Linked DNA regions of Mus musculus. The protein of the gene in region 1 interacts with the protein of each later gene in a pairwise test. Links are inferred from orthologs where the notes say so. Each region holds a gene or a part of one and is shown in the gene's direction. Other genes may lie near its edges.

Region 1 (4,266 bases):
GCTTATTTTCTGTAGTCCCAGGCACTCTGCAACCTGCTCACCAGTACCTGGAGGCCACCGGGAGCGAGTGCTCAGCCTCTCCCAGGCTCTAGCTACAGAGGCTTCCCAGTGGCACAGGCTGATGGCAGGTGAGGCGCCCAGGCTCTGAGGGAGGAAGCCTGGAAGTGTGGATGTCACGTGATTAAGTTAACACTGCTCCTTATCCCTTTAGCCTCTCCAGGCAGAAATTTGGATACCAGGGGAGACTGTCTCCAGCCAAGCCCACAGCCTCCCAGTGAAGAACTGCCCCAGGTCACCTCGTCCCCAGCTCCTCACAAGGCTACTTCTGCTACCACAGGGTTCTCATGCCAAGGCAGCCGGAGAGGCCTGGCCCCATGGGAGGCCAGGTGGGACCCTGGGAAGGCCCCTCCAGCTCTGACCCAGGAAGAGGGGGCATGGCCCTTCAGAGTCACTCTGCTGCAGTCCAGCTTTTGACTCCCATCTTTATACTGAGCCCTACAAGCTGGAAGCACAACTTTGAGGTGTGGGACCATTCAGGACCACAGGGGAGAGGTTCATTCCAGCATGTATTCTAGGAGGGCCAGGGCCGCTATGGTCAAAGATTGATTTTCCCAACACTGTCCAAAATTGGATGAAAACTTTGAACTATTAGTCAATAAATAGCTTTTATTCTCTCTGTGGTTGTGACATTGTGTTCTGACAAACAAGGGTAAGGGCCCAATCTGCAGTGGTGGCACACGCCTTTTATCCCAGCACTTGGGAGGCAGAGACAGGTGGATTTCTGAGTTTGAGGCTAGCCTGATCTACAGAGTGAGTTCCAGGACAGCCAGGGCTATACAGAGAAACCCTGTCTCGAAAAACAAACAAACAAACAAACAATATGGGTCTGAGGGAGGAGGCTGGAGCCTGAATCAAGCCAGAAGAAGTAGCCCTGGTCTTACAAGTCAAAGGAAAAAAAAAAAAAAAAGAAAAAAAGCCGGGTGTAGTGGCGCACGCCTTTAATCCCAGCCCTTGGGAGGCAAAGGCAGGCGGATTTCTGAGTTCCAGGCCAGCCTGGTCTACAAAGTGAGTTCCAAGACAGCCAGGGCTATACAGAGAAACCCTGTCTCGAAAAACCAAACCAAACCAAACCAAAACAAAACAAAAAAAACAAGTCAAAGGGAGCAAGGCTGAAGTCAGTCTGAGGAGGCAGAGCTGGGGTGAGGGTCCCTGAGTCTGAAGGAGGACTGTCAGTTTGGGTACCCTGGGACTGAAAAAGAAGGGCTAGGAAGGAGAGTCCTCAGTTCTCCCAGGTGTGCCTTCCTAGAAACACCCCCTCCCAAGGTCAGCCTTCAGTGACCCAGCCTGTATATCTGGTTCCACCCCACTGCTTCTCTGGACTGTGGAGGTGGGAAGAGGTCCAGAGGGCGTGGGATACAGCTGGGGATGGCTGCAGTAACCCGATATTCTGGGAAGGTGGTGGTGGTGACTGGAGGCAGCCGGGGCATCGGGGCTGCGATCGTGAGAGCCTTCGGTGAGTAAGGGTCTTCCCGCCTGCTGTCTGAATTGTTGTAGGAGAGAAAGGATGACTGACAGAGGTTCCCAGAGTGGGAGGAGGAGACTCAGGTTCATTTCTGTAATGATTTATTTGTTCTTAAATGATTTGTTTATTTTTATTTTCCTCTGCATTGTTGTTGAATCTGGCTGAGAGTATTAGATCCCTTGGAACTGGAGTTACAAACAGTTGTGAGCTGCCATATGGGCACTGGGAAATGAACCTGGGTCCTTTGGAATAGCAGCCAGTGCTCTTAACTGCTGAGCCATCTCTCCAGTCCCTCAGTCCATTTGGATTGTTGGGTCTTTGCTGATAGGTTGGTCATTAAAAACTCTTCCTTGGGCTGGAGAGATGGCTCAGCGGTTAAGAGCACTGACTGCTCTTCTGAAGGTCCTGAGTTCAATTCCCGGCAACCACATGATGGCTCACAACCATCTGTAATGAGATCTGGCATTTCTGGAGTGTCTGAAGACAGCTACAGTGTACTTACATATAATAAATAAATAAATCTTAAAAAAAAAAAAAAGTTCTTCCACTGGCCTGGCAGTGGTGGCATATACCTTTAATCCCAGCACTTGGGAGGCAGAGGCAGGCGAATCTCTTGAATTTTAGGCCAGCCTGATCTACAGAGTGAGCTCAGAACAGCCAGGACCATACAGAGCAACTCTGTCTCAAAAATATAAAAATAAAAAAAAAAATCTTCCCTGGATCGGTTCCTAGCTGCAAATGATAGCTTTGAGAGTATTATTGCCTATCGGTTTGGGATTTTTCTAGAATCCAGGATGGGGGCCAACAGCAGCTTAATGAAAAAGGTTATTTGTTGCAAGATTCTGCTCTTGTAAGAGGACTGAAGCCAGTCACAAGAGCCGCTGGAGTGGCAGGTGCTCTGGGTGGTGGCCAGCAGAGGGCACCAGAGATGGTGAGGAAAGTCTGCAGGGCTTGTAACCTTGTTCTCTTCTTTTGGCAGTGGACAGTGGGGCTCAAGTGGTTTTCTGTGACAAGGATGGTGAGTGATTCAGTGTTCGATTCTCCCTTGCCTCCTCCATCGAAAGGGATCCGCGCCTAGCTCTCCTCCCTTGAACCCAGCTCTGCTTCCTCGGACCCAGGAATTCAAGTCCTGGCTTTCTTCCCTCCCATCCAGGGCTCTTCCCTAGCCCTCTACCCTCAGACTCTGGTGTCCAAGCCTCAGCTCTCCTTCCTCAGACCCAAAATCTTTCTCCTGCAGAGGCTGGGGGCCGGGCTCTGGAGCAGGAACTCTCGGGCACTGTTTTTATCCCCGGTGACGTGACACAGGAAAGAGATTTGCAGGTGAGTGTTTTCTGTCCCACACCTGGTCTCCAGTCCCTCTTTCCAGCTACCCATGCCCAGGACAGCTCAGTCCCTCTGCCCTGCTCTCCCTCCCATCTTTAGGAATGAACAAAACACTTGCTTCCTGTATCAAATTTCTGACTTCCCTGCACTCAGAATCTGTTATGTGCCTCCAGGTTTAGCCCCAGTCTGGGCCTCTGTCTCTCTGTCTGTGTATCTCAGCTCCCCACCACCCTCAGGGTCTGTAGACCCTCCTTCTGAGGCTCTGCCTTATACACACACCCCTCTCCAAAGTTTTCTAAGGTGGTGTGCTGATAAGTGTTATATCAACTCTACCCAAGCTACAGTCATTTGGGAAGAGGAAATCTCACTAGAAAATGGCCCCACCAAATTGGCATGTGGGCAAACCTGCTGTTCATTTTCTTTTTTCTTTTTTCCCAAGATAGGGTTTCTCTGTGTAGCCCTGGCTGTCCTGGAACTCATTCTGTAGATCAGGCTGGCCTTGAACTCAGAAATCCGCCTGCCTCTGCCTCCCAAGTGCTGGGATTAAAGGCATGTGCCACCACTGCCCTGCTCAATTTCTTTTTCTTTTTTTTTCTTTTTTTTCGAGACAGGGTTTCTCTGTATAGCCCTGGCTGTCCTGGAACTCACTTTGTAGACCAGGCTGGCCTCAAACTCAGAAATCTGCCTGCCTCTGCCTCCCAAGTGCTGAGATTAAAGGCGCTCATTTTCTTAATTAGTGGTTGGTGTGGGAGTTTCCCTAGCTCCCTGGGGGGTTGTGACATCGCTGGGCAGGTGGTCCTGGAGGCCTGGAGAGTATAAGGAAAGGGGCTGAACGAGCCAAGGGAGCAAGCCAGTGAGCCTCTGCTTCAGTCCTTGCCTTGAGTTTCTGTCTTGAGCCCTCTGTCACTGGCTTCCCTCAGTGACAGAGTGTGACCTGGGAGCTGTAGGCAGACATAAATCCTCTCCTCTCCAGGTCACTTTTGGCCATGGTGTTTATCACAGTGATAGAAACACTAGCTGTGACAAACGGCAACTGCACTATGTCCCTTAGTTCTTTTAGTCTGGGTCCTCAGCTTCCTGCATCCTCCCCTCTCCCCCTCGCTCCACCTTGTCTTCCTCAGCTGAGCCCATCCTTGCCTTGGGCCTACTGGCTTTTCCAAGACTACTGTCACCTCTCAGCTCATCACCTGCTCTTTCTTCTCTCCTCAGACTCTGGTTTCTGAGACCCTCTCTCGATTTGGTCACCTGGATTGTGTGGTGAATAACGCTGGCTACCGTAAGTTGTATGGCTTGGGGGCTAGGGTCCCTGCATCTACTTATACCCTGACCCCATTCCTTCCTCTTTGTTTGTTTGTTTGTTTTCGAGACAGGGTTTCTCTGTATAGCCCTGGCTGTCCTGGAACTCACTCTGTAGACCAGGC
Region 2 (2,596 bases), on another chromosome or scaffold:
CGCTGGGCAGTGGTGGTGCACGCCTTTAATCCCAGCACTTGGGAGGCAGAGGCAGGCGGATTTCTGAGTTCGAGGCCAGCCTGGTCTACGAAGTGAGTTCCAGAACAGCCAGGACTACACAGAGAAACCCTGTCTCGAAAAAAATCAAAAAAATAAAAATAATTAAAAATAAAAATAATTAAAAATAAAAAAATTTTTTAAAAGCCCCCTTTCTGTAACTAATAAAAATCTCTTGGAAATACAAGTGCTCATTTCCATCACTCTGCAAGCAGGAGGATCAAGCTCATTATGAAAAATGACAGGAATTGCAGAAGTGCTTTTATTTTGTTAATTTTTAGCTCTTATCCATTCATACTGAGGAACAATTAGGATCCTTTTTATATTGAGCCATAATTGCATCCTTTTGTGAGTTAAGAGAACATGATAACAAGTGATTACATACACGAGTGGGCTGCGTGCATGAGGTCAGTGACCTCTGCTTCAGTCTCCCCTGTGAGATTCTGATAGGCAGGGCAGGGAGCACAGTGTGCAAGCCTGTGGCAACCCAGGAAAACACCTCAGTTCTCTAGTGCTAAGCAGAGAGGAGATGGTAGCTTTATCAGCTTCCGTGACCAAGCAGCGAACATTGAATGCTGCATTTAAGGAGAATAGAAGGCAACTTTTTAGTATCCGTGTTCACTCCTCTTCTCCCAGACCTGAGGCAGCGCAGATCCTACACAGTTGATGTCTCCAGTCACAGCAGTGTTCTTGCCCATAGGTCTTACTCCAGTGCCACTGAAGAGGACTCCGCAAAACAAAAGAAACAGAAGTATCAGAAAAAAGAAAAGAAAAAGGAAAAAAAGAACAAGTCAAAGAAAGGAAAGCATCACAAAAAGGAAAAAAAGAAGAGAAAAAAGGAAAAGCGTTCTTCCCCTTACCATTCTGAACTCACCAAAAAGTAACAGCGTCTTGGGCCTAACTCAGAAAATTCAAGAATTCAGTGTTTTTAACTGTTGAGCCTTCCTTGGAAGTGCTATGTGATTACACTTTGCAGGAAGTCCCAGCCTCTTCCATAAAGACATTCTCACCTATTGGGGCCCTTCTCTCTCTGACCATCTGTATTAAACCCATCTCTTTACTTAGCAGATGTGCCTCAAGTATAGACATGCGTACTTACAAAGCACATCATTCTTTTGGTGGCTTAGGCCGGTGCTGTCCCTCGGTAAGTCAATTAGCACGTGGCTTTACTGCAGTCACAGGAATGATCTACTTAGCAGCTCTGAGTCGTGTCCGCCTTCCAGTGGCACAGCTGCCTCGGCAGGAGTGATTTGCTCTTGATACTGAATAGCTTTATGTACTCTGTAATGTATAAAGATAGTGAGGGTCTTCACTGTTGTTTTTTAAATCTCTAGACTTTCTAAAATAACATTGAGGATAAAATTGCTTTACTGATCTTAAGTAGTAAGTTTTTAAATGAATGGGATCTACAGGAAGATAATAATGAAAGTATTTATAACAGTGCCGTTGTTTTATGAAATGCATGTTTCTGGCACTTGCCTCCCATGTTTTTATAACAATTAAAACATCCCCTTTTTTAAACAATCATTTAGGTTACTAGGAAGTCTGGCAGAGAGATTCTATGCTAGTCAAGATTATTAGGGTAGATCCTGGGTTGATTTACAAATGTGCCATATTGGCATGTCTTAGGTGATACCTCAAACACAGAGCTTTTTGTGTGGTAGCAGCAAAATCCTCATTAAAACTGATTTTAATTGTATCCAGTGTATATGATGCCTACATATATTCGTGTTATGATAGTTTTTATGAATGTGTGCATATATATATTTTTTTTCTGAAATGGTTTTAGAGTGAGTTTCACACTGAACTTCTGGCTCATGGATAATCAATGTTGATATTTCCTCTTCCACGTCGGTCACAGATCTTAGTAGCACTGTGAAAATTTTTAAATTAAGATTTCCATTCTGTACTTTTTAAAATTGACGACTTGGAGATAGCATCGTGAAAGCCTTTGTGTAATAATGAAATTTGTATATAAATAAGCATTTTCAATGACATGTCAGTAGATTTAAGTGTCTCTGAGGTTTTTAATTTCATGGTTATCAGTATAGAGTAGTTTGACATCTAATAGTCCCTAATACCACCAAGTTAATGCATTATGCCATAAAAACATTGATCACCAACCTGCTATCATCGAACAGCCCCGAAGCCTCCGAGTACCTTGCTATGGTTCACTTCATACATCTTCAGATTGGTAAGTGCACGTGTGGCTGCGGGCAAATTTATGGCCATAAAATGAGATGCGTACACTTGGCCTTGCAGGCTGGAGGGCTTTAGCAATTGTTCCCTTACCCAAACTGACATTCCCTGATTGACTGAGGGGTAGTCCTAGGAAGTCCCTTAATGTACCCTCATCTCTGCTCAGGTTACACAGAAGCTACGCCCACACCCTTCCCTACACTGCTCCCGTGAAGTACACCTACGTACGTACCTTCAGCTCTTCCACTAACTGGCTACTCTCCTGGCCCATAAAAAAAGTAATTTTGTTTAGAGTTTTGTCAGTTGTTTGAACTAAAGCACAGAACTTTAATATTTAGGG

The links.
Region 2: the proteins of Hsd17b14 (region 1) and Srek1ip1 interact in binary tests that used the Homo sapiens proteins (3 or more experiments, as listed by UniProt). The two-hybrid records come from large-scale screens. The link is inferred for Mus musculus from reciprocal best matches to the Homo sapiens genes HSD17B14 and SREK1IP1.

Annotation. Positions count from the first base shown.
Region 1 is NC_000073.6:45,553,554-45,557,819, forward strand, and holds the start of Hsd17b14 (17-beta-hydroxysteroid dehydrogenase 14), read left to right. Parts: upstream 1-1,374; 5' UTR 1,375-1,425; coding exon 1,426-1,513; intron 1,514-2,501; coding exon 2,502-2,540; intron 2,541-2,759; coding exon 2,760-2,842; intron 2,843-4,054; coding exon 4,055-4,121; intron 4,122-4,266. Other genes in the region: Plekha4 (pleckstrin homology domain-containing family A member 4), read left to right, coding at 16-128, 212-474. UniProt on the Homo sapiens protein: Catalyzes the NAD(+)-dependent oxidation of L-fucose, yielding L-fucono-1,5-lactone, which rapidly converts spontaneously to L-fucone-1,4-lactone. Can also act on D-arabinose and L-galactose, with lower catalytic efficiency. Does not use NADPH.
Region 2 is NC_000079.6:104,836,608-104,839,203, forward strand, and holds the end of Srek1ip1 (protein SREK1IP1), read left to right. Parts: intron 1-757; coding exon 758-941; 3' UTR 942-2,069; downstream 2,070-2,596. UniProt on the Homo sapiens protein: Possible splicing regulator involved in the control of cellular survival.